4 linked regions of the Xenopus tropicalis genome follow. The protein of the gene in region 1 interacts with the protein of each later gene in a biochemical or structural test. Links are inferred from orthologs where the notes say so. Each region holds a gene or a part of one and is shown in the gene's direction. Other genes may lie near its edges.

Region 1 (7,712 bases):
AGCAATGACTGATTGACTGGAGGTCTGGGAAAGCCAGAAGTTCCTTTATCTGCTAAATGGAAACACGGTTAAGCATAACCCATCCTGAACAAAGTTATCTGATACTGGCTGATAGATTCTGTGGGGAAAAAGGCAAACACTAATCTGTGAGCATTTATTGTCTCTTTCCCTTTTTTATGGTTGTGCTTTCCCAAACGCCAGCGCCACACCAGCCATTTGCACTTCCAGTGAAGAAAGCGGCAATTCCCTCCTGAGGGTGAAGACACACGGAGCTACTAGTAGCAGCTACTTTTTCACGGCTACTAAGGGCCCTGGTAGACGGGGAGATTAGTCGCCCGCAACAAATCTCCCTTGTTGCGGGCAACTAATCTCCCTGAAATGCCATCCCGCCAGTGAGAATGTAAATCGCCGGTGGGATGGCATGCCCGAAAACTAGACAAATAACTCGAAAACCATTTCAAATTTGTAACGACTGTATATTTTGCAAGTTGCTTAGAATTTTTATTAGGAAAAAAAATTGTATTTTGGGTTGACTTTTAAAATTAAATTCTACTGTGATTTAAGCAGCATTATTATAAGAGAATTTGCAGATGATTTTAAATTGTTAAGAAGATTTCAATAGATTTTTTTTGTTGTGACTGGCCCAGTGTGCAGATACCCGTGTCTGGGATGTTACTGGCTGCCTGGCGTACAAGTGAATTTGTTTGTGCACTCGTGTGTGGCTGCCGTCAAATTCATAATGGCCCATAGTGGAATAAAGCGCAAGCCTTTTGGTTTTCAGACGATTTGAAGTATGTTAAAATTAAAAGGAAAAAGTTGCTTGTAATTAAGGGTTCTCTTCCTTTTATCCTTCTGTGGGAACACCTAACCCAGCGCTCAGTTTGTTTTATTTTTTGGGGCCAAGATTTTTTTTTTTATAGTTCAGAATTTGGACTGATTCCCCCCCCCTTAGTTTATAACAAGTACAACAAGCCTGCTGTATGAGCTCTCTAGCCATACCTCCAAGAATATGTGCAACAAAAATATTCCATCCATATCTCACCTTAATTGACCTCCAAGCTGGGCTTTCAGGTTAATCTAGAAGAGCAAACAAGCGTTCTCCTCAGATTTTGCCTGAACTTGCTTTCCAGCTGAGCTCCCTCTCCCCATATTACTGCAAAGGGCCCATCTAGGGGGGTCTGCCCTAGAATTACTGTATGAAAACTATTGATAAGCAAAGAGTATTTCATTCTAGGTTGTGGACCTGCACGTGGCTTGCAATTGCACAATTAGCTAGGGACCGCTCATCTTCAGGCCTGATGGGAAGAACTGGCATGTTTTATTAGGGAAGGTTAAGTTAAGGTAGTTCTACACATGTATATGTCTCTTGGACAGGCCTACCCAACTGGTATCTGGACAAAAATTGGCCAGATGTTGATCGGGCAGGTTTAAAAATCACCTCGAGGCAAGGAGTGCATCAGTGCGTTGATGTGGTCCTTTCCCCAACAGCCTGTATCCTGGCAGTGTGATCTGATTGGTTTGCCTAAGGGCCAACTGGTCAGATCAATTCGATATCGCCCATCTCAAGGTGGAAAGATCTGCTCGTTTGGTGACCTTGGCAAACTAGCGTATCTCTCAGTGTATGGTCACGTTTAGTCTACTTGGCGCACCACCCACAAACAGAACTCTAAAATAAGGTATGTTTTCAATAGAAATGGGATATGAGTACTTGAAAGCTTTTTTCTTTTGGTTCCTAATGTTCAGGCTGCCAGTGTTTCTTTCCTGCAAATGTCTCCTCACCAAACCCGCTTTGTCCTTCATTCACTGCATGCCTGACATCACACAGAGTGTAGGGCCATCAAGTAGAGCGTTACTGCGCAAGTGCCAAATGAAGGACTAGACCCAACATTCTCACCTCTCACCAAATGCTATGAGGGGACTTTGCCTCATCAAAGCACTGTGCCACCAACTCAAGGGACCTCCCAACTTACCTCGCTAACCATTATATTAGGCTAGTGGGTGGCACTCTGTTTTTCCACTGGAGTAGATGTGTGTTCCACTGGCTTTATAGCTTATCCATTCTCGATTTTCCTTCATCGTAACTGCCCGTCTCTTGTCTAAATTCATATTGGCATCTGAAATTAGCTGGAATGGATTGCTTTCGGCAAGATTGCCATCTTTCCTCTTTGAAAATGGCACGCTACTGAAGATCTATTATTTTTTGTGTTATAGGTCCACTGCCAGACGGGTGGGAACAGGCACTGACTCCAGAAGGGGAAACATACTTCATAAATCATAAGAACAAAACCACATCTTGGCTAGACCCACGATTAGACCCACGTTTCGGTAAGGACCTTTTCACTTCTTCAATACATACAGTAACATCACTTTTATACATGATAAGATAGTTTCCCCTAAGCTTAAAGCTTTTTAGCCCACAAAACAGTACAATAGAAAGGAGACCATACCATACTGGTATCTATCCATTTGGTCATGCCTGGTTGTCCTATGGCACCAAATGACCCCTTATAATACTGCCTTTGTAGGAATCAGAAGGAATGATACACTTTGCACACTTTCTGTTACCTTTTAGATAGCCCTCTTTACCTTTACCCCCTGTATAAATATGTAGTGTGGGTGATGCATTTACCCGTCTGTTGTACAGCGCCATGGTTTTAGGCTTTTCCCACTATAATAAGGGGATAATAATACAATATAATGCTTCCATGGGTTGCCTGACAATCTGTTATGCCCATTCCCATGGCCATAAAGAAATTGGTTAATAATTGTGAGCTGCTGGGGCTTGCAAAGTTCCTGGGGGCTAGGGAATCTGTAATTCCAAGTTGATGATCTGACTGTGCTAGCCCAAGGGTATATTGTGTAATGTTTTCAGTGGAATATTTACAAAAACAGCCATTTTGAAAAGATGGGGGAGAAAGTGCCATTTTGCTGATTTCTCAAGCTAAATAGGAAGCACTGTTGCACCGGTGACACTTTGGCACCTACTAATATAGTAGAAATTGCACATATGCTTATTTCACCAGTGTGTACATATGCAGAATGGATTCCCTTATGTATTGTCGGCCATATACAGACCAGTTAAGCCCCCTGCAGTCTGCATTAGCCTGGCTGACCAATACCAGACAGGGTACAAAATCCCATAAGATGAAGAATGCATCTGCTTATAGATGTGATCCTTTTCCCAACTGGCTTGCATAGATCTCCATTGTGGTCCATTCATTGGTTTAGAGGTTGGACATATTGGAATTGCAAAGTCCTTTCTAGGTATCCCATAACTCTTTACCCATTGGAAAAACAATAGAGAAGCACCCTAGGGAACTCCCAGGTTAGACAGCTGTTATGTTATATGTACTTATAAAAATATAGAGAATTTTTAAGAGGTTCACAAGCTTTCAAGCACCACTGTAAGTGCATATTAACAAGTGCCCCAGCTCCCTCATCATGTGCATGTTTGTGGTGTAGGATGCATAGCAATCGCTGGGTTGGATTTCTTCCAAAAATATTATTTTTCCCCCATCTGTTCTTTTTATGTGATCGGTGTCCTTTTATCAGACTTTGGGTCTCAGTTGAGGATAAGTTTTGCAGATGTTAGGATATAAGACTAAAGGTGGCCAGAAACTATCCACTTGTTTGGTAAAGCGAGCGGATCTATTCCCCAATATGCCCACCTTGGGAGGGCAATATCATGCTAATGCAGTCGTTTGGCCCTAGGGCCAAACAATCGCATTATAATGAAGGGGATACGAGCAGTCAGAGGACCACATCAAAGAGCCAATGTCCTCGATCTAACAGGAGAATCAAGCCGGCCATTTATCTGTTCGGGAGACCTGTCGGAGGGCCCCATACACAGCAGGTAAGCTGTCGAATCGGTCTAAGGGTAAGAACCCACGATAGATCGCTGCTATTGCAAGTGAGTAACTGTTTCGAAAATGCTTTCTACTGGCAACAATAGAAGTCACCGATGGAAAGCCTTTTGCATCGCTTCATTTTCGAAAGTCGCGTAAAGTTGCCTGCAGGAGGAACCTTAGCGCAACTGGGATTACCAAAGCCATGGGAAGGGCCAGGTGGAAAGCCTTTTTGGAGCAGTTACTCACCCATGATAGCAGCGATCTATTGCAGGTGACTAACTTGCGTTGTGGGTTCTTACCCTAAAGGACTAGGATCGGCAGCTTTAATCTGCCCGCGTACGGCCACCTTTACAGAGACAGTGTTGTTTCCCATTAGTTTTACTCTAATTGTGGGAGCGTTGGTTCTCTAGACTAGGCCAACGCGGTGTACTTCAGCCCTGGCTATAAAAACACAGAAAAATGTTTATTGTATAATCAGTCTTTTGGTTTGAACTTAGCCCTACATCAGCACAAACAGAAACACCCTTATTCATCCACCCCAAATAAAGGGCAACAAAGCCAGTCACCATAGCAACTACCACACCACAAAAATATTTTGGTGCACAATGTGCTGAAACTGAATACAATTGAAGTGAAATGTAATCTAAATCAAATATATGCCGATAGACAGGTAGCACCGGAACCCAAAGATATGTAGAAATAGCTCTGTGAGTATCATTTCCAGTCCAACGATTTACTTAGCTCCCATAGTATTACAGACACACGTGTCAAAGCTTTTCCCCAAGGACACCCCACACAGAGCAGCGGTTGTGCAGTCAGGCAGTTCAGCCATATTGCTACATGTGACCCACGGAGTGGTTGCATTCTGTATTATAAGAGGTTTGGGGTACTGACGTTCTGCTAAGTTTTGAATAGTGCGATTCTGTGACCCTGCTCGGCAATGTGATGTGCTCTCTATGAAAGGACAATTGTTTATTGGGTCCTTGAATGTCAGAGTTTCAGTATCTTAAAGTATGAGTGGTATTTGTTGTGTTTGTGCAAGTGAAACCGGCCTAAATTCCTATTTGTCCATAACCAAGGTTTACTCTGAATAAGTAATATATTCTATTCTATATATATTCTATATATTAAATTCTATATCAAATGTTCTGTTCGTTCATTACTGGAACTATCTACTAAAGAGAAGTGATCTTGGCAGGTTAGCAGAATTAAGCTGGCCATGCACTCACTGATATTATCATACAAGGAGGTTTTGTACCATATTCAGTGCTTGTATGTTGGATCGATGAGACAAAAGCCTTGGATATCAGGTGGGACAAAATCTGCCTTTAGGGCTGAATCGTCAGATAGGGGTAGAATTCTTATTGTTTCTGATGATTCAGCCCTGAACATCATTGACGGTTCAGCCCTGAACCAGTGGTTGCAGGAAAGATCATAATTATTACGTATATGGCCACCTTAAGAAATCTAAAAGGCGCCAACCCATTAGTGATGTTAGAAACTTTGGTTTGCCCTTGGCAATGAGTGCGGGCAGTCATTGCTCATCAGTGATATCAATCAGTGATATCCAGTGCAGACCACTGTCCAGCAGTGTCTTTTAAGGATTACAAGATGGACAGATGTGTTTTGCAAGTTACCATTTTTGGACGATAATCAAGATCAACGTTTTCAGGTGATGTCCATTCAAGTGATTTCAAGGTACAATTTGAGTGTTTTGTCTCCTTTCCATTGAGCTACAGGATGTCAATAAAAAGTTTGGATTTGCCTTATGTGCCGTTGCTTCCCAATTTGGCTCTTCTGGAGGAGCTTGGAGCAGTGGGAGGGGGCTCGGTCTGAAGGCCACTTGGGATGAGGTTTGGGGAGTATGTCTTTTCTCACCTAGATACACCTAAAAGGTCAGTTAGGATAAAGGTGGCCATTCATGGGTCGATTTGAGCTGCTGATTCAGGCTCTTCAGACTAATTTGGCAGCTTATCTGCCCGTGTATAGGGATCCCCTCATGGGCTTACCCAAACAGTTTCTGGCCTAATTGATTCTGCTCATTAATGCAGTCCCCACTAAGATGGGTCCTATTCCTGTTAAGTTGTTGTAATTTCATTACTCCAATATCGCTTACCTTAGGTGGACATATCTGTGGAAAGATCCATGCCAAACAAGCAGATTTTTGTGTGCGGCTGCCTTAGGATTTGGGGTGAAAACTTGTTTTCTTGGAACAAGAAATGAGAACAATACCCCAATGTTCCTATATTTGTAACCTTGGTATGAGCTAATGGGACACTTGGATCGCCAAGAAGGGGCTTAGACTAAAAAAGGTCGGAAATCTCTGCCTTAAGGAAAATGCATGATTCCTTGCAATGATTTGTCACCTTAAATAAAAAAAAAAAAATCAAACATAAAATGTTTATATGCTGGGTGCATTTTCCATTTAAACTGTATCTTTAGCAATAGTCCCATTGGGTAGTGGTAAAGGTGATATTTTATCACAGAAGCTGGTTGGGCCCCAGCAGGCAAGGTGCCAGAACACTGATTTACAGCCATATAAATGGAAGTAGAGACAATGGAGAAATGACTGCAGTGTTCTTTTATTTTCTGCCTGACGTCCCACTGTTTGCCCTGTTTGTGGGAGGGGTAACCCGGGAACATTTAGGGCTGAAAAGGAAAAAAGAAGTCAAATTACCTTAAATAAGAGGCTTGGCTTTATGTGATCATCGGTTCTCTCCCCCGAGCGTCTCATTTTGTCTTGCCCTTAATTGCTGTTTGTTGAAGGTTAATTATCATTGCTGGGCAGAAATGTGCTTAAATATAAAAGGGCAGATTGTTTACGGTAAGCTTTAATTGGAAACTTGTCTTTATTTTGGAAACGTAATCTTGCCCTACCCCCATTTTCTGATCCCCCTGGATGGGACAAAGCATTTGTTGTTTGTCTGCTTGTGAGGTCTTAGCTGCCTCGGCCTCAGACTCCGGTGCTCGAAACCAGCAAATCTTACTCGTGACTCTTAAATTAGGGGGCTCCCTACATATTAATGATTGAGGGTAATTTGTTATGTGCACAGAAATGGTCACTCTAACGGTCAGATACTTTCCTATGGAGCAGAACAATTAACAGCCTACTGGGCAAAATCTAGCGGCACACTGGGCAACAATACAGGGGTAATACAGTGAGGTCTATGGAGAGCCATTACATGGACCCCATAAACCTGCCTGACCTAGAGACCTGCTGTCAGTGGGCCCCATACTTGGGCCAGTCTGGAGGGGATATGTATGGGCAACTTTACTCAGCCAAGGAGCAACAGTCAGTCTTTGTACATCCCTTAAAATAGAATTACTTAAGGTGGCCATACACGGGCCGGTTGTAGCTGCCGATATCTGTCCCTTACACAGATTCGGCAGCTTATGGGCCGTGTAGGGGCAAGAAAGAGGGGCATGCCCGACCGATATCTGGCCTGAAATTGGCCAGATATCGATAGGGCAGGTTAAAAGATTTAATCGGATCGGGGGCCAAACGATCGAATTCGCCTATATTTTCCCCGATATCGCCCACCCGTAGGTGGTGATATAGGGAAAAGATCTGCTCACTTGGCAGCCTCGCCAAGCGAGCAGATCTTCATGTGTATGGCCACCTTTAGACAAGTGGATGGCCAGATTGCATTGACCAGTACATGACCATGGCGGTGGTTGATATGTGCAATTTTAGGCCTAAAGCAGTAACTCCAATTACAGGCTCTTAGGTTTGGCTCTTAGGCATTTGGCCTGGTTTTCAGTTTGGCAAATGGCTTTTCTGGTTTTCAGTGTCCAACACTGAGTGGTACTGGCTCTACGTCCATGTATTGACCATAACAATATAGGTAACCATAAAGCTACAGT
Region 2 (8,326 bases), on another chromosome or scaffold:
TCCCCATAACTGAGACTTTCCATACCCTTTACCAGCTTAGTTGCCCTTGTGCCTGGTGCAGGTTTGTTTATGTGCACTGTGAATCCTGTGAACCCAGGGGGGTGGCCCCTAATTAGTAAAATGGCAATTTCCTATTTAGGATCACCCAATAGTAAGAAATCCAAGTCCAGCTTGGGACTCCTCCAGTTACATGGGAGTAGGAGAAACAATAGGTTACCTGAAAGCAGTTCTAATGTGTAGCGCTGGCTCCTTCTGAAAGCTCAGACTCAGGCTCAATGCACCGAGATGGAGCCTACACACCTATATTACAGCTAAAAAATACATTTGTAGACAAGAAAAGGTACATATTCTTTAATACCTGTTTAAAAAGTATACTCAACTGCATTTAATCTCCTCCCTCCCTTCCCCCCTTTCCCCTCTCTTTTCCACCCCCCCCCCCCCACACTGTTATTAGTTTGGCCAATTAGGCCGCATAGATATCACAAATGAAAAATAGACAAATGCGGTTTAAGACAACTAATCTTTATTATATTTGGAAAACAAATGAATACATGTAATAAGCAAATACATGGTCTTTAAAAAGTTGAACATAATAAAAAATAAAGTAAAAAAAAATTCTTGGTTGAAGAATAAAATTTAAATGGTAGAGTGAATTATTTGCTATGTAAACAGTGTAATTTACGAATAAAAAGTATACCATAAAACTCATGACAGAATCATGACAGTGTGGTATATTTTCAAATTACATGGAAATAAAAGTAATGAGCAATTTTTTTAAAGTAGAAATCTGGCTTTTAAACAAAAATTTGTTAACACAAGACTCAAACCCTTTAATATACCTATTACTGTAACCTGTTTATGGAATAAATACCACTTTTAGGTGCTGAAATCCAACTGCAGAACAGTTCTTTTCTTTCTGCATCATTTCAAATCCTGGCAGGGGAGGAGGGACTAAAACATGATATTACAAATTGTAACAACTTCTCCACAGCATACAGACAGCATGCAGGAACCACATAACCCACAATGCATTGCGCTATGTTTGTTCTTTCCTTATTGACATCACATGTGCAGGGAACTGTGGGATTTGGCAGATGAAGGCTGAAGGCAGGAATTTGTTTTGAGCTTTAAAGTAGTCAGCCAGATCAGCAGAACAGGGGGTCGGGCTTACGTAACTGTTCCAAACCATATTATTACATTAAAAATCATGAAAAGTCTGCATATTTTGAAACAGCGTGGCCCGTTTTTCACTTAAGGTGAACATCTCATTTTAAGGAGAAAGAAAGGTAAAAACTAAGTAAGCTTTATCAGAAAGGTCTAAGTAAATACAGCCATAAGCACTCACAGAAGAGTGCTCAGAGAGTCCTCTATCAAAAGAAACACAGGATTTCTTGTCTGTTTGTTTTCCTGTGCCAGAGACACACAGCTCTCTCCTGCTCCCCCCTCCCTCAAGAATGCTAAGAACTTACTCCCCCCCTTAGGAATGTGGATCTGAGCCAATCCACAGGAAGCTGACTCATAGTCTTACTAACTGAGCATGTACACCGGTCTTGGTGCAGGAGCAAGGCATTATGGGAACTTTCTTTCATCTGAACAGGAGAAATATGGGGAGACTTAAGGGCACTATTGAGAGAACTGACGGTATGCCTGCACCTTGAGATTAACTCTTTATTAGCCTTTCCTTCTCCTTTAAACTGTTTATTACAGAATGAATAACTTGCATTAATAAATCAAAAGGTTTCTGCCAGCCATGCTACTACACAACTTTAGGCATTTGTTAAGTTTCAGTACCTAAATTTATTTATAAAGCGCCAACATATTCCGCAGCGCTGTACAATAAGTGGGTTTCATACATTGGACATACAGAGTAACATATAAAGCAATCAATAACCAATACAAGAGGTGAAGAGAGCCCTGCCCAAAAGAGCTTACAATCTACAAGGAGAAAGGGTTGAGAAAGATTTGAATGCAGTTGATGGGATGTTTGAATTGTATTGATTCATGGCTGTACTAATAAGTTTTTCAAATCGGTAATAAGGGAAAATGAACTAAATGTGAATTTGCGGATATGTATTATGGGCAGAATGTGCTCGTTAGAGATACTTGTCCCAGGGAATTATTTGTCCTTATAGGAATATTAGTTTAGGTTTGGAATTCTTCAGAACCACAGCAAGTAATTTGGGCTTCTATTCAACTGGAAGTGCAGGGTACAGAGGGCAAGTAAAGCTACTCTGTAGTTTCTAAAAGTGCCCATAACCTGGGAATATTTACTTGCCACCCAGTAATGGAACATCCTAATGATTCCTCCATCCATGGGGAATGACGTGTGATGAAACTTTTGTCATATCTTTGTTGTATTATCTGCAGGGTCATACACAGAGGCCCAAACAGCCCCCCCCCCCCCCCCAATAAATAGTGACTGTCTGTGGCACCTTACAGCCCCCTGGCATTCCCAGTACCCAGAGGCACAAACAGCCCCCCAGCCCAATAAATAGTGACTGTCTGTGGCACCTTACAGCAGCCCATCTGGCATTTGCCAGAACCCACTAACTGCCAGTTCAGCCCCAGATTCTTACAACAGATTCTGCCCCAGTACAGCCAATGTATTACTTTCCACACACCAGCCTTTCTGTTGCACCGCCCCCGATGACCCCCGGTAATTGGCAGGCTGCATCACCAATGAACACGCTGAGAGGGCGGAGTCTGCCCGAACCCCCTATTACCGCCCACCTCAGTTTCACAGCACACTCAATGTAGCTGTCTGTCTTAAACTAGAACCTGTATTTGAGCCTTTGCGCTGCCCTAAAAACGGCTGCAGGGGGAACTCCTCCGGTCACAGGCGTGGGTGTAGGGGGGAACTCCTCCGGTCACAGGCGTGGGTGTAGGGGGGACTCCAGGTTCTCTTTACATCTCTGCCACACAAAAACTTCTCCACAAATCGTATAACTCCTCCCATCTCTATGCGCACCGCCCCTTTTTACAGGCAACCACGTGACTCCGTCCTCCCTGTCACATGACCAGCTAGTAGGACAATGTGCAGCGGCAGCAGCAGTATCTGCCTGTCAGACCTTCCGGTATTGTTATGACCGAGTCGGTGTTCCATGAGCGGCAGCGGCTGGAGCTGTGCGCTGTCCATGCCCTCAATAACCTTCTGCAGAAACCGGAGTTCAGTCACCAGAGGGCTGAGGAGATCTGCCGGGGGTGAGAGACCAATGGGGCATGCTGGAATGTATAGGAGATAGGCTGTGTAAATACATCATCATTGTACTGTTCTGGCGGGGGAGATACAGTGGGGTTATAGGTTATGGTGAGAAGAGTAATGTATAGCCCTCATCCAGTAAAGGGACACTATGATGCTGTGGCTTGGTGTGTGTGGCTCTAAGGTACCTGGGAACATGGGGCACTTGAACTGTTTAGATTGTTAGCTCTGTTGATCAGGGCTCATTTTACCTCTTGTACTGGCCAGTCACTGTATGGAATCTGTGTGATTGTTGTATTCAGCAGCTGCCATAGAGCAGACCCAGATTGGTGTTTGCTGTTTATTAGTTCCCCTTGCCCCTTGCACTTTAAACTTAGTTGCCCCCTGGCGATTCATGCTAAGCCCCCCCCCATAGATTTACAGGGAGGGGACGCAGCGCAGTCATGGTACGCCAATACCCCTACCTGCTTTAAATTACTGGGTAATATCTTAGAGAATAAATATATATGTGTGTTAATAATAATTATGGTGCTGATTCATGGCTAGCTTATACCCTTATTATAACTGTCCAATGAGGGGTCATACTTGCAGCACAGAATTCTGGGAAATGTAGTTTAAAGTCAGTTGGAGGGGTGCAGTTTGGATACGAGAGATATGAATGTGATGGCACATAGGCCACTCTTAATAGTTCATCTGCCAAGAGTTAAATGCAAAACAATCCTGTATGGGGAGAGAGTATTGCTTGTCTTGCATTCCCAGCTCTGCCAAGTGGGTGCCTTAAAAGCTCTTGTCTCTGCCTGACACAGTGATCCTACTGTTACCCATTACACAGCTGCTGCTCGATAAATAAACAACAGTAATGCATGGAAGCCAAGGGCCCCTGGAGTACAAAGCTCTCAGAGTGGTGATTAATAATTAGTATGTACTTAGCCTGAATAGCACACTGCCTGAGATGGTTCCTCCCACTATGGTATAAGGCATGTATAAACGTGACTCAGATATTAAATATAGCCGGCTCTGTAATTAATCGCTTAGCTACCTATTTACACATTCTTTTCTCTGTGTCTCAGACTCGCTCCAAACTCTATGATTAACCCTCACCGCAGTCTTCTGGGTACCGGCAATTACGATGTCAACGTCATTATGGCAGCTCTTCAAACTATGGACTATGCAGCGGTTTGGTGGGACAAACGGAGGTAAGAGTAACATGTTGGCCATATTGGAACTAAAAGCATGAAAACTGAATAAAATGACTGTCTACTGGTAATGAAGTGACACGTGGCTACTTTTGTTGCTTAGCTTGTATACTTATGTCAGGGAGTTGCAATGGTATACACTAAAACTTCCTGTACAGCCTACTACAACATTTTACAAGTGTGTATTAAGGTGAGTGGCGGCAACAGACTTCATTAAAAGGGGTTGTTCGCCAACTTTTGTTGTATGTTATAAAATGACTACAGCTTTTCAGTTGGTCTTCATTATTTATTTTTTTTTATAGTTTTTTAATTATTTTGCATCCTCTTTAGACTCTTAACAGCTTTCAAATGGAGTCACTGACCCCTGCATCCATATAATTACTGCTCTGAGGCTTACATTTTATTTTTATTGTTACATTTTATATCTTATCTTTCTATTCAGGTTCTCTTCTATTCACGTTTCAGTCTCTCATTCAAACCACTTCCTGGTTGCTAAGGTAATTTGTACCCTAGAAACCAGATAGCTGCTGAAATACAAAGTGGAGAGCTGCAGAACAAAAAGTAAAATAACTAAAAAAAAATAAAAATACAAATAATAAAGAATGAAGACCAATTGCAGATTGTCTTAGAATAGCATTCTATGCTAAAAATTTACTCAAAGGTGGACAACCCCTTTAAAGAAATACTGACAGGTCCCTATGAAAATTTAGGACCATGTCAGTAATACTAAATAGTTGTGGCATGAAAGTCTGTATAGACATAAGTCCCCCAAAGCCACCCCAACTCAGTGATACCTGTTCATTACGCAGGGGACAGAGAGCAAAGGGAGACACAGGAGGTGGCTCAATCCTTCCATAGGCTAATTACAGATGAAAACAGCACTCCAGCCTATGGAAGGATCACACCACCCCAGGTCAGTGTGATTGACACAACTGCTGAGGATCCTTTTGCTGTGCTTAGGTAGGTGCCCCTGAGCTGGGGTGGCTTTGTGGCAGGACTGGACTGACAATATGTGGGTTCTGGCAAATGCCAGAGGGGCTGCTGTAAGATGCCATAGACAGTCACTATTTATTGGGCTGGTGGGGGGCTGTTCGAGCCTCTGTGTACTTGAAATGCCAGGACTAATTCTGAATCCCAGTTCAGACCTGCTTTGTGGGGCATTTGGCTTGCTAGATTTTTGCACCACAATACTGACACAGTCCTATGGATTTTCACAGGAACATGTCAGTGTTCCTTTAGGACAGGGGTCCCCAAGCTTTCTTACATGTCAGCCACAGTTAAATGTAAAAAGACTTGGAGAGCAACACAAGCACCATAAAAGTTCATGGAGGTGCCAAATAAGGGCTAAGATTGGCTATTAGGCAGCCTCTATACACACTATTAGCTTACAGGAGGATTTATTTGGTAGTAAATTTTTGTTTTTATTCAACCAAAACTTTCCACCAAGTCAGGAATTCAAAAATAACTACCTGGTTTGGGGGCACTGAGAGCAACATCCAAGGGGTTGGTGAGCAACATTTTTTCCCTCGAGCCACTGGTTGGGGATCACTGCTTTAGAATAACAAATGCCTCCATTTTTAGTATTTTGCACTTCTCACCCTGTCATTTGTAATGTCACTGGTGGGTTAAGGGCAGAAAAATGATTGTATAATGTAGACACTTATGGCTCACATCCCTGAAAAAATAAATTACATTTGCCAAAGAGGATGGCACATGAGGTTGACTTTCTTACCTCTTGATTAATATGTGAAATGATCCATAGAAATACCACATACAAAGTGCAGGGAAATCACAAAATGTAAAAAGAAACAGTTACAATTAGTGGGGGGGGGGGGGGGTCCTGTCTTTCTAGTCACTTACTTTAGAACAAGGGCCAACGCTTCCCTTGTTCCAAAGATGCCTGGGTCTTTTCCTCTGAGCACTGTGCTGCTATACTCTTCTGCTTTCCCAGCAGAAGAGGTTTCCCCAGGCTGGGGTCATAAGTGAGAGACTAGGAACACTGATGGGTTCTTAACAACTTTCCCTCCTGGTGATTCAACCTTTCCTTGTCTCTAAGCTCACTTGTCTCACTCAGCCAGTCCCTATTACTATAGAGTGCTATGGCAAGACATATGCTACACAAAAGTGACACCATTGCTGTGTGTGTGTTCGCTAGTGAGATGCATCTAAAAAGTCTAGTCATTATATTATACAATATTTTCTATAATTGCAACAAATGTCTAAGTCTTCTTGTTGGCTTTGAATGCAAGCATTCATTTCAGCTTCCTTAGCCCCTGTATTAGGGTTGTGCCTTCCTGGTTTCTTCCAATGCTTGGAGACAATTTGCGGCAAGGAGCTCTTTATAAACAAACCCCAGGCTTATCTAAGCTGCTGCCTTTGGTAGTGCATTAAAAGTGTGCCCCCTAGTGCTCACTTAGAAAGTAAATCTGCCCAGGGTCTGGCTGTGCTTTTCACCTTGTAACAGATAGAAAATCTGGCTTGAGATGCCGAATGTCAAGTTAGCAGGCATACAGCAGCTCTGTCCCTACTGCTTGCCATAAAGCAGGAGGTAAGTACAGGACCCCAAAATGGCTCGAGTGACTCACAAATTAGTAAGTACAGGGCCCCTATGTAGTTTGAATGATGGACAAGGAGCACAGAGACCTGCAGCGGATGGCTTCCATTTTTTTCACTTTGTGCCTCCCCTGAGAGATGGAGTTTCCTTCCAGTGCAGAGCTGAGTGAGACAGGGAGGCCCCATCTATGAGCGTAACGTGTTAGAACTAGATTTTAGTTTTTGCATTTTATTTTTTTTTTGTGCCTTAGAACAGTGAGACCCTTATTTCTATAAGACTTATGCTTCAGCACGCAAGGTAAAAACCTCCTCAGGAAATAAATAGCACAGCGGCAGCCTAGTGAATGAATAGTTATGATTCCAAGAAGGCGTCCCAATGAGCCCAGGCAGTCGGGTGCCAGGGAGTCTGCCGAGCCAGGCTGCTGGAGTGGATGGAAACTTTGTTTTTCGCTCTACCCATTGTATGGAAAATCATTTTGTTAACTCTTTTTGTGGAGCTTAAAATCAAGTTGAAACCTTGCAGAAGGACATTGTGTAATAGTTCAGATATGAAGCCTCGCATAGATCAGTAGCTGGTATACAAATGAGGCATTATTTATATATAGGTACCATGACATGTATCTTTACACAGATGAATTTGACTGTGACTTGCAGCCTTACCCAAGCCTTACCCGTTGTTGCTTATGGGATAAGGTTACAATTTGCCCCCTTTTCAACTGAAGACAGACAGAGGTCCCCCAGATGTTGTACAGATACAACTCTCAGCATTCCACTGTCCTTTGTAGTGAAAGGACAAGAAACTGTTTACATTAGGCCCCTGTAGAGGCCTCCCCCTGAACTGTACAACCCTCACTCCACAATAATGCCCCACACGCTCAGACCTAGTAGTAAATGATAAAGTACAGCGGAGGTTGGTGGCCACAGTGTGTGGCTAATTAAAGAATAACTAAAGCTTAACTAAAGAAGTAAGCCAGCAATGCTGTACATTATGTTTTGGGTTCTGTACCAGTCCAAGGCAAACACATCCCTTTAGCGGGAAGATCTGTGCCCCCAAAGATGCCCCAGTAGCCCCCCATCTTCTTTTCTGCTGATTCCCTGCACATGCTCTGTGCTGCTGGCACTTACCTGAGCTAAGGGGCCCACTCACAATATACTATAGAACAGTGATCCCCAACCAGTGGCTCGTGAGCAACATGTTGCTCCCCAACCCCTTGGATGTTGCTCCCAGTGGCCTCAAAACAGGTGTTTATTTTAAATTTCTGGTAAGGGGGCAAGTTTTGGTTGCATAAAAACCAAGTATAATGCCATACAGAGCCTCCTGTAGGCTGCCAGTCCACATAGGGACTATTAAGTAACCAATTATAGCTCTTATTTGCAC
Region 3 (8,182 bases), on another chromosome or scaffold:
GGAAAGAGCTGTAACAGATACCAAATATTGCCCATGTGACACAAAAATTTAACTACTATGCAACATTTAGAGATCCACCATGCAGCTGAGCTCTAACACCTCACTAAAAAGAATGACTGTCTTCTCAAAGCTCTTAAACACATCTAACCAATTTGCCACATTCATCTTTATTATTATTAACATTTATAAAGCGCCAACATATTCCGCAGCGCTGTACAATAAGTGGGTTTCATACACTGGACATACAGAGTAACATATAAAGCAATCAATAACCGATACAAGAGGTGAAGAGGGCCCTGCCCAAAAGAGCTTACAATCTACAAGAAGAAAGGGTTGAGACATCCTGTTTAGAGTTGGACTGTCCCACTGGGAAACAGGAAAAAATTCCATTGGTCCTGCCCACTCCTGTGGAGGGCCCTGCTGACTACCTGTTGCCCGCATGAAACTGTTTTTTCTTTTGGAATGCATTGAAAAAAAATCAGGATGATCATGTATTTCGCTGTTGAATGCATTTACATTTTTTTGGAAGAAGATTCAGCTATACAGGAGGCAGAACTAGGCAAGTAGCATTGGAAGACTAAGAGAGAGGAAAAATTTGTTGTATTCTGTCTATGAAGATTTTCATTCATCCAGGTCATGGTATATCAAGTATAAATAAATCTAAAGCAACTGGACTTGTTAGGTAATCATTGAAGACGTTTCACTACTCATCCGAGCAGCTTCTTCAATTCAACTGACTGGTATGGGAAGTCCTCAGCATATGTACTCTTCCACTAACCCAATTACAATGGCACTATGTAACTCTTCAGAGAGGTAACATATGAGGACTTCCCATACCAGTCAGTTGAACTGAAGAAGCTGCTCGGATGAGTAGTGAAACGTCTTCAATGATTACCTAACAAGTCCAGTTGCTTTAGATTTATTTATACTAGATATTTGTTGTATTCTGTTTCTGTGGGGGAGGTAATGCTTTTTATTTATCCCTTTTCTGCTGTTACCTTACTGGCATGTCTGGGGTTAATGTGCTCATTGTCTGCAGTGATCTAACTGTCATGTCTGGGGTTAATAAGCTCATTACCCATTTTCCTTTGCAAAGAGCCTAAAAATGTTAGCCATATTTTGTTGAGACACCCATTCTCACCCTGGTACACAGTGAGGGATTGGAGGAAGTGAAAAAACTGTGAGAGGTTGTGGTGGAAGGTGTATTTGGTGGGCCCCTGGGGGGAAGTTCTCTTGTGGGCCCCAGTCCGACACTGGTCACACACAGAGGAAAGTTAACTGCCTCCTGATATAACAATGATATTGTGTGTAAGACTGGGACCTTAGATTGTAAGCTCCACTGGGGCAAGGACTGATAAAGAATAATAATCATTATAATATGACCACAGTCCGTCAGTGAAAACATAAAAAATCATCTTTGGCTGTTTGTTGGAGTGCTGGAAGTTGTAGATCCATAACAACCGGCTGGAATAATACTAAGAAACGCAAACATCTTAATAACAATATGCCCTTGTACTTTCACTAACCACATTTTGTAACCAAGGGATTTGCATCAGGCTATGGGCACAGGGCAAAAGCTCCCTCTGCACTACCCTACCCTAAAACCAGCCATCCATTTCTAATTTATCATCTCTCTTGCAATGGCACCAGCGCCATACCCCTTTAAAAGCAGATGCCTATTAAAGGAACAGTAACACCAAAAAATTGTGTTTTATGTAGTTAAAATATAATGTACTGTTGCCCTGCACTGGTAAACATTGTTTTGGCTGCAGTTACACTACTATAGTTTATATAAATAGGCTGCTGTGTAGCCATGGAAAAGGGAGAAAAGGCACAGGTTACATAGCAGATAACGGATAAGCTTTTTTTTAGGGGCTGATTTACTAATCCACGATTCCGAATGGGAAAAAATCGGATTGGAAACAAACATTTTGCGACTTTTTAGTATTTTTTGCAATTTTTTGTCACCGTCGCGACTTTTTAGTAGCCGTTACGACTTGCGCGAATTGTCGCAACTTTTTCATAGCCATGATGACTTTCGTGAATTGTCGCGACTTTTTTGTATTGAGCGCTCGAAAATACCGATCATTACGGAAAAAAACGCATTCGAATGCTTTTCAGACATTTGTGGATTGGTAAATGTGCCCCTTAGTGTTTTATCTGTTATCTGCTATGTAACCTGTGTCTTTTCGCCTCTGAAATGGCTGCCCCCATGGTTACACAGCAGCTTTGTTTATATAAACCAGCGTTTTTCAACCACTGTTCCGCGGCACACTAGTGAGATGTTGCCTGGTGTGCCGTAGGCAGGGCACCAATGTACTAGGGGGGCACTGCTCTTGGCACCAATGTACTAGGGGGGCACTGCTGCTGGGCACCAATGTACTAGGGGGGCACTGCTCTTGGCACCAATGTACTAGGGGGGCACTGCTGCTGGGCACCAATGTACTAGGGGGGCACTGCTGCTGGGCACCAATGCTGCTGGGCACCAATGTACTAGGGGGGCACTGCTGCTGGGCACCAATGTACTAGGGGGGCACTGCTGCTGGGCACCAATGTACTAGGGGGGCACTGCTGCTGGGCACCAATGTACTAGGGGGGCACTGCTGCTGGGCACAGAGTTAAATTTTTTAACATTTTCTAATGGTGGTGTGCCTCGTGATTTTTTTCATGAAACAAGTGTGCCTTTGCCCAAAAAAGGTTGAAAAACACTGATATAAACCATAGTAGTCTTTCTGAGGCAAACACACCAGTTGTACTAGTGCAGGGCAACAGTTTAATTTAATTAAACTTTAATTTTTTTTTTGGTGTTACTGTCCCTTTAAATGCACATTCTGCATAGCTAAGAAGGTAGTGGGGGCTGATGGGAGCTGTAGTTCTGTGACAGATAGGCTGCCTATCCTTGCCTACATGGGAAAGAGGCAGGGTGAGATAAGATAGAGAGAAATCTGGAAACCACTCATCAGGCTGGAGGGACTAGATTCCCACACAGGGAATGAGAAGGACGAGCTCAGGTTATTACATGGGGCGGGACTAGCAGAGGGAAAGTATCTGCCCCAGACAATGGAGGAGGAGAAATGAAAGGGAAGAAGGGAAGGACCGGGCTGGAATAGGAGGAGCCGAGGCACATCGAGTCTCAGGCGAACAAAGAGCCGGAGCTCGGGTGCAGTGCCAGGGACTGGCTGAAGAAGGGCTTCCAGTGGCAGTGCCGGCTCCAGGCCCTTGTTGCTGGCTATGAGCAGGGGGCGGTGTAGGAGCGCAGAGCTCTTAGGTTGCTGGGAATAGGAAATGGAGGAGGGGAAGAGAGCCTGAGACAGCTGACCCCCTCCCTCCATCTTCGGGTACCCCATGGCTGGCAGGCCCCGGCTCTGAGTCGTGCTACTTCCTACAGACATGGCCGCTGCCATCAGCTACAGCCCACCGTGGTGGGTCAACCTGCTGCACCGGCTCCCCCACCTCAACCTTCAGTGGGAGAGTCTGACTGGGGATTTCCGCCCACAGGACCCTGACTACCAGCAGGTGAGGCAACGGGGGATCTCATGTGGCACCTTGGTATGGGGGTGTCTGCCAAATCTACTATTGCTGTTCATTAGTAATATGAGTGTTCTACCGAAAAGTATATGCTGCAAATAAATTCTCTAGACTTTAGTGAAACCAATTATGGTCCCATATGACTTGCTACTGGTGGTTACAAATGCTTAAATGCAAACAGCAAAGGTATTCCGCTTGGCTTTCTTATTTACAATGAACAGTTTCTGTTTACTTGTACTCTGGGGACCTCAAGCTGTTGATTTGGCAGTAGCTGTAAAAGAATTGTGTGAGTTGTAGTTCAGCAGGTGTTGCAGAGCGTAATCATTTTGCTGTGGACTGCTGTAATGTAATGACGTTACCCAACACTCAAGATGATCTGTATAAATGTGGCTAAGTTCCTGTGCTATCCTGGGCTGAAATGTGGCCATGAAATGAAGTGATAATGTTACATTGGGCTGCAATACCAGGAACTTCCCTGTATGGTGATATTGTGTCTGCCATGTAAATAAATCTTCTGCTTGAGCCTGAGGATGCATTGCTGTGCTTGTCTCCAGCACGTTAGCAGCCGCTGGGAATGCCCTACATTTTTATTATTATTCTTTATATAGTGCTGACCTATTCTGCAGCCATTTATAGAGATTATACACATTTCCCATCAGTGAAATACACAAGTGGATCTTATAATCTAAGCACCCTATCACATTCACACACCCTATGGTTAGTTTTATAAGGAGCGGAAACCCACAGAGACATAGGAAGAAAGTCCCGGACTGCAAAGGTGCTGCCCTTATCAAGCATAGCCAGCATGTGGCCCTGGAGGTGTAGTGTATTTGTAACTTCCACTATTTCTTGACCTTACCTGTAGGCTAATGAAGGATTCTGGGAGTTGTAGTTCATAGACAGCTAAGAGGGCTTATGGTTAGACATTTTCTGCAAATGCCTGAGCCAAATCTAATATAAATAGCTGTTGTTTAGAAAAGCTTCTTTTTACAATTAAAGATTCCAGCCTTACCCTTTGTGTCAGTCACATATACTGCATTTCCTCATACTATATGTTGTGTAGCCCTTCTTTTTTAATTTTTTTTCTGTACCCTGGAACTGCAAAATAAAGCTGTTACATTTGTGTGGAAAAATGGCCACCCTTGTACTTGTTTGCAGCCTGGATTCCTGAATCCTAGAAGGCTGCCCTTGCTTATCCTGTGCCTCCCGTTCACAATTCCTGGATTGCTCATATGAAGCCTTTAGCCATTTTTTGTTTTTGCCTTAGAAACTACAGTTCACAGTTGCTACATTTGTGTGGCAATTTACAGCTGTGTGTTACGTTTGTTCCTTCCTGTGATTCCTTTCTGCGCCTAAATCTAAAGGGTTAATAGAAGCAGGCCATTCTATCCTTTGGAAATGAGTAGTGCCCTAAATTATGTGCCACTTGGGGCCTGCACCTCACTGCTCTGCTGTCTGCTTCTACATATTTCTGGCAACAAATGGCTTGTGGAATTCTGATTATCCAGCAGTGACACATAAGAAGCCGTGCAGTAAATTTCAGCCCCATTTAACACTTTGCGGATAAACAAGTAACAAATCTGTAGAGTCAGATTTTATGAAAAGTGATTTTTTTCCCTTTACCTGACATGCACAAATCATTATCAAGGTAATTATATGGTAGCAGAGCAAGGCCAGGCATTGTGTGGACACGAGACATGCCAAAGCACTTAGCACTTTTGTTCACAAACCATAAAATTACTGGGTTTGGTAAATGTGGTGTGATACATTTGTTTACAGACTTTACAATGTGGACTTGCATACTGTAATATCAAGGAATTGTGTCTTATCTCTTCTCTACTGCCAAACAATGTGTTTGAGGTCCTGTTTTGTATGGGACACTTTATTTTGTAATTGTGTGTGTTGCTTGTCTGAATTTGTGTGACCATCACATTTTACTGTGTTGGCATATTCCCCATGGTTTGTTATTGATTATTGGAGTGTAGTCCCATTTGTGTGCCATGCAATTTTCCTTTTTCGGCTAGTATGACTTTTATGATCTCAGCTTTCGTTTGAAGTCAAGTGTTCGGTGTTTAAAAAGTGTTTTAAATACATTTTGTTCCAGAAAGCAGCAGTTTAACCAACTTGAGTGCCAGTGTGGACTTGTGTTGCAGCAGCTATAGCGTTTATGTATACAAAATCTATTGCAGTAAAGGGAGTAAGCTACAAAGAATAGAAAAATCTGTATAGAAATTTCCTGTATTATTGCTTTTTATTCATTTATGTGCAGGACAAAACTAAATAAACATCAAGTACAAACCTATACATAGCATTGGTATTGCATCCTGTGCTAAAAAAGGTGCAAGCCCTTACTACCACTGTTTTTATACTGTATTATTATTAATAACATTTATTTACAAAGCGCCAACATATTCCGCAGCGCTGTACAATAAGTATACTGTATAACTGTATAGTGTAGGTCCACACTAGGATTCAGACTAGGCCCTGGCATTTCAAATACACAGAGGCCCAAACAACCCCCACCAGCACAATAAATAGTGACTGTCTATAGCATCTTACAGCAGCCCCTCTGGCATTTGCCAGAATCCGGAGATTTCGAGTTCAGCCCTGCTGTATAACCAGAACCAGACACCAGACAAATTCAATAATGTAATCAAGGGAATTGGCAACTGCAACTGGCTTGCCTGTGCTAAGGCAGGGGGACATAGTTATGTTACTGTGTAGCATACAGGGAATCTGTGTTACTTTGTAGCATAAGGAGAATACCTAATCACAAGGGCAGCAAAAACACCAATGAATAACTATTCATATGTTTGACGAACAAGAAATGGTGACCTCATACTTAAATGTTAATTTCAGGAAATATAAATGCAACATAAATGAACTTTATACCCTCTTGGATAAGAAAAAAGCCTTATACCCTTTTGGTAAACAATTCTTGTAAAGTCATGGGCTCTGATTGGCCTGCCTCTTCTGCATTTAGATATGCAACCTTGGCAACTCTTATGGCCTGGCACGCATTAAAAATACGCTTGTACCCCCATGAGCAATGTGGGATTTTATTTTAACATGTTAAATCAAAATTATCAGCAGGTCCAAAGCCATAAATGTCTAATGAGTCTTTAGTTGTGCCTTAGGTTAATGACATAAGATTTTTCTGGTAAAAGTCAAAGAACATTGGAATAGTTTTACCTTATATAAATTCGGAGCCCCCACAGCCAACTTTTTCTCTCCTGCATGCAAGTGTATGCCTTGGGGACTGGCCAATTCAGCATGTCCTAATCTGAAAATTGCTGCTGCTAAATTGGGACATTCTGGGAACCTTTGTGTGCCCAAGGCCGTTTTTTGCATGCATGTGAGGCTGTGGAAAACTATTGTTGTTTGTGCTTTCTCAGATACAAAAGTAATTTATGGGCTGCAAACTGCCCCCGGCCCTTAACCTGTTTGGCAAGTGCTTAGGCTAATGCCACACAGAGCGTAGGTAGCATATGCCCCGGCAAACATTTCCATGCTGCCTACGTTACGTGTGGCATTAGCCTTAGATACCATAATAAGTGATTTAGATTTAGATTTTTTTTTTAGATAAAATTGTCATTAATCTGTGAGATCTGGAGATGTGAATTACATCATGGAGACATGCTCATGCTGAGGCAATGCCTGTATGATTATGAAGCAGACAGGTTGTGGGCCTTCTGCCTCTTTTAAAACAGTAGCAGCTACTATTAATGATTCAAACATTAATGCCTGTATATTAGCCTTTATGCATTAGCCCTTATTAGATGCTATGACCTTTCAGCCACAACTCCTTCCTAGATACATGTATGTGTGGATGACCTATATGGAGTATGGAGACTGCTAGGGATTTTAGCATGTTATTCAAAAAGAATGGTATTTAAAATTAACTAAGATAGGATGCATTGCTATTTATTGCAACACTAGCTGTCTTGCCCTGCATTATATCTAGTTTGGAGTAATGACACACAGGTTTTTTTGGAGTGTTTTGTAGCACCATGAGTGGTGCCATTTCATGCAGCCTAAGCTCAACACTAAATGGCTTTGAGTGCTTATTGAGTACACTGGACACTTTCTGGTAATTACCGTTTAAGGCAGAGAGGCAAAACAATTTAAATCGTCCTTTGTCTTTATAATCTACTATTCCCATCTATACACCACTGTAGCTTCTTAGATCAAATAACCTTAGGAGAGGTCATGGTAGCCATTGAAAGCCTTCCCCTGGGGAAAAACTTCAGGCACAGATAGCCTGGTATCGCCTCTTGAGTGAAGACCTAGCCCTAAGGCTTCACTCCACCTTGCTGGGGGCAAATTTGGCTGCCGCCACCCTAGTTCCTTTTACTTTGCAATTATAATACTTATATTTAAAGAGGGGAAAGATCCCAAACTATGTCCCAATATTAAGGATCTAGTTAATGACCTGTGCCGAAGACCCATATACCATAAGACATCACAGGGGCTCTTGGCTGTCCCATCTGCAGGCTGTTTCAGCAGGTTACAGCTTGCTTCTTGTAGAGGCTCATCTCATTAGGTAGCCCTGTGTAACCCTAGCCTAAATAAGTGCTGTCATAATGTTGTGTAATTATCCGTCTTACAATATCTGACAATGCTCTTGCATGGAACTGCAGTCTCCTGGGAATAG
Region 4 (8,230 bases), on another chromosome or scaffold:
TTGGCTGTTGGTGGCTCTGCCCATATTTAAAAAAAAAAACAAAAAAACTTGAATGCGTAGTCACCCAGTGACTGACTTTGCAAAGTTTGGGAGCCCTGGCATCAAATCAATAAAAATCAATAGGTGAAATCTGACTGGCTGTTGGTGGCTCCACCCACTTTACAAAACTAAAACTGCAGTCCCCTAGTGACCAACTGGGAAAAGTTTGGGGACCCTGGGATTAATACTGGTTGGATTTCCCCATTGAAAGTCAATAGGTAAAATCTGATTGGCTGTTGGTGGCTCAGCCCACTTTTCTAACCTTGATTTGCAGTTACCTGGTGCCTAACCCTGCAAAGTTTGGGGACCCCGGCGTTATTACTGTGAGAATGGCAGCAGGTTGGATTTCCACCAAGTTAATAGGTAAAATCTGATTGGCTGTTCACAGCCCCGCCCACTTTTGGGCATCCAACAATCATCATATTTGCATTCAGGCTGAGCCCATGACTGTGTGATTCAAGTTTGGGGAGTGTAGCCTCAAAGCTGTAAGTGTGGCAGCAATTTCCCCATAAAAGTCAGTGGGTGAAATTTGATTGGCTGTTGCTGGCCCCTCCTACTTTGGGGGTCATCCAACAAATGTCCCTGTTTCATTCGGGGTGACCCCATTATTATGTTATTCAAGTTTGTCGGGTGTAGCTTCAAATCTGTAAGTGTGGCAGCAGTTTGAATATCTTCCCTGTCAAAGTCAATGGGAAAATTGGGGGGTTCGGAGCGGCGCCACAAAAAGACAGGGGGCGGGATCACTTAGAAAAGCACAAGCAACCTGCTCCGCTATAGGGCGAAGATGTGTGGGGAGTTTGGGTGTTGTACCTCTAAAATTGTAGGAGGAGGAGTGTTTAGAAAATGGGGGGCGCTAAGAAGAAGAAGCGAAAGAATCAGCTGAAGGGGAAGAACAGTCTGTGGGGTTTCAGCCCAACACAATAAGTTAAGAGCCAAAGACACAAGAGGATGGAGGTCCCTGCCCTGTAGAGCTTACAATCTATATGGGAGGGTAAGAGCCAAAGACATAAGAGGATGGAGGTCCCTGCCCCGTAGAGCTTACAATCTATATGGGAGGGTAAGAGCCAAAGACACAAGAGGATGGAGGTCCCTGCCCCGTAGAGCTTACAATCTATATGGGAGGGTAAGAGCCAAAGACACAAGAGGATGGAGGTCCCTGCCCCGTAGAGCTTACAATCTATATGGGAGGGTAAGAGCCAAAGACACAAGAGGATGGAGGTCCCTGCCCTGTAGAGCTTACAATCTATATGGGAGGGTAAGAGCCAAAGACATAAGAGGATGGAGGTCCCTGCCCCGTAGAGCTTACAATCTATATGGGAGGGTAAGAGCCAAAGGCACAAGAGGATGGAGGTCCCTGCCCCGTAGAGCTTACAATCTATATGGGAGGGTAAGAGCCAAAGACACAAGAGGATGGAGGTCCCTGCCCCGTAGAGCTTACAATCTATATGGGAGGGTAAGAGTCAAAGACACAAGAGGATGGAGGTCCCTGCCCCGTAGAGCTTACAATCTATATGGGAGGGTAAGAGCCAAAGACACAAGAGGATGGAGGTCCCTGCCCCGTAGAGCTTACAATCTATATGGGAGGGTAAGAGCCAAAGACACAAGAGGATGGAGGTCCCTGCCCCGTAGAGCTTACAATCTATATGGGGGGGTAAGAGTCAAAGACACAAGAGGATGGAGGTCCCTGCCCCGTAGAGCTTACAATCTATATGGGAGGGTAAGAGTCAAAGGCACAAGAGGATGGAGGTCCCTGCCCCGTAGAGCTTACAATCTATATGGGAGGGTAAGAGTCAAAGGCACAAGAGGATGGAGGTCCCTGCCCTGTAGAGCTTACAATCTATATGGGAGGGTAAGAGCCAAAGACACAAGAGGATGGAGGTCCCTGCCCCGTAGAGCTTACAATCTATATGGGAGGGTAAGAGCCAAAGACACAAGAGGATGGAGGTCCCTGCCCCGTAGAGCTTACAATCTATATGGGAGGGTAAGAGCCAAAGACACAAGAGGATGGAGGTCCCTGCCCCGTAGAGCTTACAATCTATATGGGAGGGTAAGAGCCAAAGACACAAGAGGATGGAGGTCCCTGCCCCGTAGAGCTTACAATCTATATGGGAGGGTAAGAGTCAAAGACACAAGAGGATGGAGGTCCCTGCCCCGTAGAGCTTACAATCTATATGGGAGGGTAAGAGTCAAAGGCACAAGAGGATGGAGGTCCCTGCCCCGTAGAGCTTACAATCTATATGGGAGGGTAAGAGTCAAAGACACAAGAAGATGGAGGTCCCTGCCCCGTAGAGCTTACAATCTATATGGGAGGGTAAGAATCAAAGGCACAAGAGGATGGAGGTCCCTGCCCCGTAGAGCTTACAATCTATATGGGAGGGTAAGAGCCAAAGACACAAGAGGATGGAGGTCCCTGCCCCGTAGAGCTTACAATCTATATGGGAGGGTAAGAGCCAAACACACAAGAGGATGGAGGTCCCTGCCCCGTAGAGCTTACAATCTATATGGGAGGGTAAGAGCCAAACACACAAGAGGATGGAGGTCCCTGCCCCGTAGAGCTTACAATCTATATGGGAACTTACAGACACAAATAAGTATAAATGCCATAGGTCACAGTGGGCGACACTACAATAGAAGTGCTAGTTTCATATAATGCAACGTTGCCTGACAGTGTAAGTTTCAAGGCACCTCCCCCAGGCTAATACCCACATTCCCTTCAATACAGTGCCTGTATACACTCCCATAAGATTGCTAGCGGCGCGGTTCCCTGTATTTACTCCTGAGCAGCCCCCTCACAGCCCCCATTCTAGTGACTGGTCCGAGTGGGCGGGGCCGGGGATATCCTTTCCTTTCGTGCAGTTCCTGATAGCACCCCTCCCACACAGTATAGTGAAGCCAAAGCAGCCAGAGAGATCCCTTCCACCAATCATCTGACAACTTTATCGCAAACTGACAGAATGAAAAAAAACAAAAATGCAAACAGGGCTGTAAAGTAACAGAGGCCAATCGTGGGAGCCAGTACAGTAACCAATGAAGAGCGAACCCCAAAAACACCAATGACTGTCCGCCTTACATTTGCAACTTCAGGAACTTGCCTTTGGTTTCGAGTTTGCTCGGCAGAGGGAGGCTTGTGCATGGCCAATCCCTGCTGCTGTGCCAGCCCCACGGCTTGTGAGGAATCCCTAACGCCTTTCTGGGAGAATTCAGCCCGCTGACCCCCTGCCGCCTTTTAACATGACCACTGCCAGACTGGAAAGAAAAAGTGAAGGCACCAGAAAAATAAGGTAGAGCCCTTTTTATTGGTGGATTTTGCAATGCTTGAACTGTGTTTATTTCCTAAAAGTGCGTTAATACTGTAGCTGCATGTAGCTGTGTCCCGCAGTGCAAGTGGCCTGCAGCCGGTCGCAGCTGGGGCTGTCACTGCGCTTGTTGCACTCAGAGGTCGGCTTCCCCGCCTGCGGCTGTCACTGCACTTGTTGCACTCAGGGATCAGCTTTCGCTGCAGCTGTGCTTGTGCGACCGAGCGACTGTCAGCCTGCAGCAAACCGCCTGGCAAAGAACCCGTACAAAATGTCATTCTCAGTCGCTTTCCAATATACATTCAGTAAACGTTGTCAAGTGGTTTCAAAGTCAATTGTACAAAATGTCATTTTCTATCAAAAGCAGTATCTGCCCACTTCTGTTCCCTGCACTGTTGGTTGCGACTTCTGCTTTCAGTTGCAGTAAATTGCACGCTTTCAGTTGACTTTGCGACTGTCGTAATTGTGTCTGGAACTGCATTCTTTTTCATTATGCAAAGAACAGTTTTTGGGTGGAGGAAGACTTTTATGTTGCAGTGCTTGCCAGGTCATGCCCATTCTAACACATACTGTGGCATTATATATATATATATATACTGAATCAAACACAACCAGCACCAAGGGTCTTGTGGTTCAGATAAATATTAGTGTATTATAATTGCATGTACAACCGACGTTTCAGTCCCTTTTGGGACCTTTTTCAAGTTATTCTGTGCACAGGGACAGCAGTCTTTGGAGTGTGGTGCTGTTGCGTGGACTCTCATATTATATATATATATACACCCTGTTTCCCCAAAATAAGACACTGTCTTATATTTTTTTAAGCTACAAAATATGCACTAGGTCTTATTTTCGGGGGGTGCCTTATTTTTCGAGGGGGGTGAAAAATCAGGGGGGTGCCTTACTTTCGGAGGATGTCCTATTTTCGGGGAAACAGGGGTATATATATATGTATGTATAACTTTATTTATAAAGCGCCACAAGTGTACGCAGCGCTGTACAATCTTACAGAATACAAAATTACACACAGGGAGGACAAGTGATATAATAAATAAATAGAGTAAATATATATATATATATATATATATATATATATAAGTGCCATGTGGTATGAGACACAGTGGGAAGGAGGTCCCTGCCCCGTAGAGCTTACAATTATATATATATATAATACGTCCACAGAAAGCACTCACAGCAATCAAACTTCAAAAGATAGTCCTTTATTCAGTGCCCATCAACGCATTTCGATCCTCATAGGATGGTTGGTCAGCACCTGGCTAATGTCTTTAGAATGTATGTATTTAATGTATATAAATGTTTGTACAGGTATAGGACCCGTTATCCAGAATGCTCGGGCCCTGGGGTTTTCCGCATAAGGGGTCTTTCCATAATTCTGATCTTTTACCTTAAGTCTGCTAATAGAATTATTTAAACAGTAATTAAACACAATAGAATTGTTTTGGCTCCAGTAAGGATTAACTAGATTTTAGTTGGGATCAAGTACAAGCTGCTGTTTAATTATTGGAGAGAAAAAGGAAATCATTTTTAAAAATGTGAATTATTTGATTGAAATGGAGTCTATAGGAGATGGCCTTTCCGTAATTCGGAACTTTCTAAATAATGGGTTTCCAGATAAGGGGTCTGATACCTGTATATAATATATATAATCCACTGGAAGGGGCACTCAGTCCTGTTCTGCCCAAGTGCCGTTGAATGCAATACCTTGTACATTATATATATATATATAGTACACAGAGAGGAGCACACCCTATACAAGTCCAAATGCCCTTGGTGCAGGTCAAAACCAAAAATATAATAGAAAGAGTGCCGCGCACACAGGGGCTTGATACAAAATAAAACATTTTTAATGAAAAATTTCAACGTTTCAAACTCGAAACGTTGGAATTTTTTCAATAAAACCTTTTTCTTTTGTATCAAGCCCCTGTGTGCGCAACACTCTTTCTATTATAGAAAGAGTTGCTGTCATAGGGAACATAGATTATTACAGCAGATAACAGACTTTATGATTCAGTGAAAAATCCAACATCTGTTTGAATGCAGTGCTTTCTGTTGTCAGCAAGAGCTGGAGGACCCCAGGTTGGATATTACTGATGTTTAAATGAAATACTGATGAATTGTTTTCACATTTGATTTGATGTTGTAACTGGGTAACTAAGTAAATTTATTTTAGGGTCCCCTAAACTTTCAGAATATTTTAATGAAACTGCTTGTCATAGTACAGGTATGGGACCTGTTATCCAGAATGCTCGGGACCTGGGGTTTTCCAGATAATGGATCTTTCCGTAATTTGGATCTCCATAACTTAAGTCTGCTAAAAATCATTTAAATATTAAATAAACCCAATAGGATTGATCTGCCCCCAATAAGGATTAATTATATCTTAGTTGGGATCAAGTACAGGTACTGTTTTATTATTACAGAGAAAAGGGAATCATTTAACCATTAAATAAACCCAATAGGACTGTTCTGCCCCCAATAAGGGGTAATTATATCTTAGTTGGGATCAAGTACAGGTACTGTTTTATTATTACAGAGAAAAGAAAATCATTTAACCATGAAATAAACCCAATAGGGCTGATCTGCCCCCAATAAGGGGTAATTATACCTTAGTTGGGATCAAGTACAGGTACTGTTTTATTATTACAGAGAAAAGGGAATCATTTAACCATGAAATAAACCCAATAGGATTGTTCTGCCCCCAATAAGGGGTAATTATATCTTAGTTGGGATCAAGTTCAGGTACTGTTTTATTATTACAGAGAAAAGAAAATCATTTAACCATGAAATAAACCCAATAGGGCTGATCTGCCCCCAATAAGGGGTAATTATATCTTAGTTGGGATCAAGTACAGGTACTGTTTTATTATTACAGAGAAAAGGGAATCATTTAACCATGAAATAAACCCAATAGGACTGTTCTGCCCCCAATAAGGGGTAATTATATCTTAGTTGGGATCAAGTACAGGAATCATTTTTAAACATTTGAATTATTTGCTTATAATGGAGTCTATGGCAGATGGCGTTTCCGTAATTCTGAACTTTCTGGATAAAGGGTTTCCGGATAAGGAATCCCATACCTGTATAAGGGAAGATGAGTGAAAATATGGGTAACTGAAAGAACTCAGAATTCTCCAGGGATTTGGCTGTATTTACCATTGTGTCTGTGTGTTCTTTCAGTCGGTAAACATAGCAACGTATATTTAAGGATGTTACTGAAATCCTATTGGCCCGTGTCTGGATGACAAAATAAAGCCTGCAAGTTCATATATGCAGTTTATTTTCAAATTTTTCAACGTTCCATTGTTTGTTTTTCTCCAAAGACAGAAAAACAGCAACATACACAGGCCAATCCTGTCAGGTTGCACAAATACAAGAGATTGTCTATATGTTTGAAGAGTGTCACCTGTGTATAATTGTTCTGTGCCATTTTGACAAACACTATTAGTATATTTCTAATTAAAATTGCTGGAAGCAGGACGGCTGCCATACTGGTTACACAAGAATTTAGATTTTAACTCATTTAGGGAAAGGCTGTTTAAGGCAATTGCTGGCTGTTTCAGGTGTGTGTTTTGTTTTCTTAATCCCTAAATACAGATTATTTGGGCAGAGGTTTTCAACTGAAAGTCTCATCAGTTTTTTTTTTATTTTTTCAACAAATTCTTTCTTTGTTAATGAAAATGGCATCATGTGATAAGTACAGGTATGGGACCTGTTATGCAGAATGCTTGGGACCTGGGGTTTTCCGGATAAGAGATCTTTCCGTAATTTGGATCTCCATAATTTAAGTTTGCTAAACATCATTTAAATATTGAATAAACGCAATAGGCTTGTTTTGCTCCCAATAAGGGGTAATTATATCTTAGTTGGGATCAAGTACAGGTACTGTTTTATTATTACAGAGAAAAGGGAATCATTTAACCATTAAATAAACCCAATAGGGCTGTTCTGCCCCCAATAAGGGGTAATTATATCTTAGTTGGGATCAAGTACAGGTACTGTTTTATTATTACAGAGAAAAGGGAATCATTTAACCATTAAATAAACCCAATAGGGCTGTTCTGCCCCAATAAGGGGTAATTATATCTTAGTTGGGATCAAGTACAGGTACTGTTTTATTATTACAGAGAAAAGGGAATCATTTAAACATTAAATAAACCCTATAGGACTGTTCTGCCCCCAATAAGGGGTAATTATATCTTAGTTGGGATCAAGTACAGGTACAGTTTTATTATTACAGAGAAAAGGGAATCATTTAACCATTAAATAAACCCAATAGGGCTGTTCTGCCCCCAATAAGGGGTAATTATATCTTAGTTGGGATCAAGTACAGGTACTGTTTTATTATTACAGAGAAAAAGGAAATCATTTTTAAAAATTAGAATTATTTGCTTATAATGGAGTCTGTGGGAAATGCCCTTTCAGTAATTCGGAACTTTTTGGATAATGGGTTTCCGGATAAGGGATCCCATTCCTGTAATACATATTATATTTATGTGATAGCCTTAATACAACATACAAGCAATTGTTCCCATATTGTACTGGGCTCAGAAGCTGGGCATGATTTACTGTACTCATGTTGGAGCAAAGTTGTGGAAATGTATTGTCTTATTTATTTTTGTATGCTGAGTTAAAAAACACAAAATTTAGTAAAATGCAGAATCTCTCACAAATCAGTAGCCAATATAGGGCCTGTGAAGTCATTACTGCAGGGAGCAATGGTATACAGTTATACGCAACCTGTTATCCAGAATGCTTGGGACCTGGGGTTTTCCGGATAAGGGTTTTTTTTTTCCATAGTTTGGATCTCCTATCTAAAGTCTGCTATATCAATTAAATATTAGCTAATAGGAACCCAATAGGATCATTTTGTTACC

Evidence for each region.
Region 2: of the proteins of yap1 (region 1) and josd2, one has a biochemical effect on the other in vitro, tested with the Homo sapiens proteins (2 studies listed by BioGRID). The link is inferred for Xenopus tropicalis from reciprocal best matches to the Homo sapiens genes YAP1 and JOSD2.
Region 3: the proteins of yap1 (region 1) and ttyh3 interact in a test that uses a peptide from one of them, tested with the Homo sapiens proteins (2 studies listed by BioGRID and IntAct, with this or other methods). The link is inferred for Xenopus tropicalis from reciprocal best matches to the Homo sapiens genes YAP1 and TTYH3.
Region 4: the proteins of yap1 (region 1) and trerf1 interact in a test that uses a peptide from one of them, tested with the Homo sapiens proteins (2 studies listed by BioGRID and IntAct, with this or other methods). The link is inferred for Xenopus tropicalis from reciprocal best matches to the Homo sapiens genes YAP1 and TRERF1.

The regions. Positions count from the first base shown.
Region 1 is NC_030678.2:162,270,603-162,278,314, reverse strand, and holds part of yap1 (transcriptional coactivator YAP1), read left to right. Parts: intron 1-2,211; coding exon 2,212-2,325; intron 2,326-7,712. UniProt on the Homo sapiens protein: Transcriptional regulator with dual roles as a coactivator and corepressor. Critical downstream regulatory target in the Hippo signaling pathway, crucial for organ size control and tumor suppression by restricting proliferation and promoting apoptosis.
Region 2 is NC_030680.2:128,294,771-128,303,096, reverse strand, and holds the start of josd2 (josephin-2), read left to right. Parts: upstream 1-3,040; 5' UTR 3,041-3,082; coding exon 3,083-3,201; intron 3,202-4,269; coding exon 4,270-4,395; intron 4,396-8,326. UniProt on the Homo sapiens protein: Cleaves 'Lys-63'-linked poly-ubiquitin chains, and with lesser efficiency 'Lys-48'-linked poly-ubiquitin chains (in vitro). May act as a deubiquitinating enzyme.
Region 3 is NC_030685.2:31,667,974-31,676,155, reverse strand, and holds the start of ttyh3 (protein tweety homolog 3), read left to right. Parts: upstream 1-2,896; 5' UTR 2,897-3,390; coding exon 3,391-3,516; intron 3,517-8,182. UniProt on the Homo sapiens protein: Calcium-independent, swelling-dependent volume-regulated anion channel (VRAC-swell) which plays a pivotal role in the process of regulatory volume decrease (RVD) in the brain through the efflux of anions like chloride and organic osmolytes like glutamate.
Region 4 is NC_030681.2:15,167,311-15,175,540, reverse strand, and holds the start of trerf1 (transcriptional-regulating factor 1), read left to right. Parts: upstream 1-2,944; 5' UTR 2,945-3,320; intron 3,321-8,230.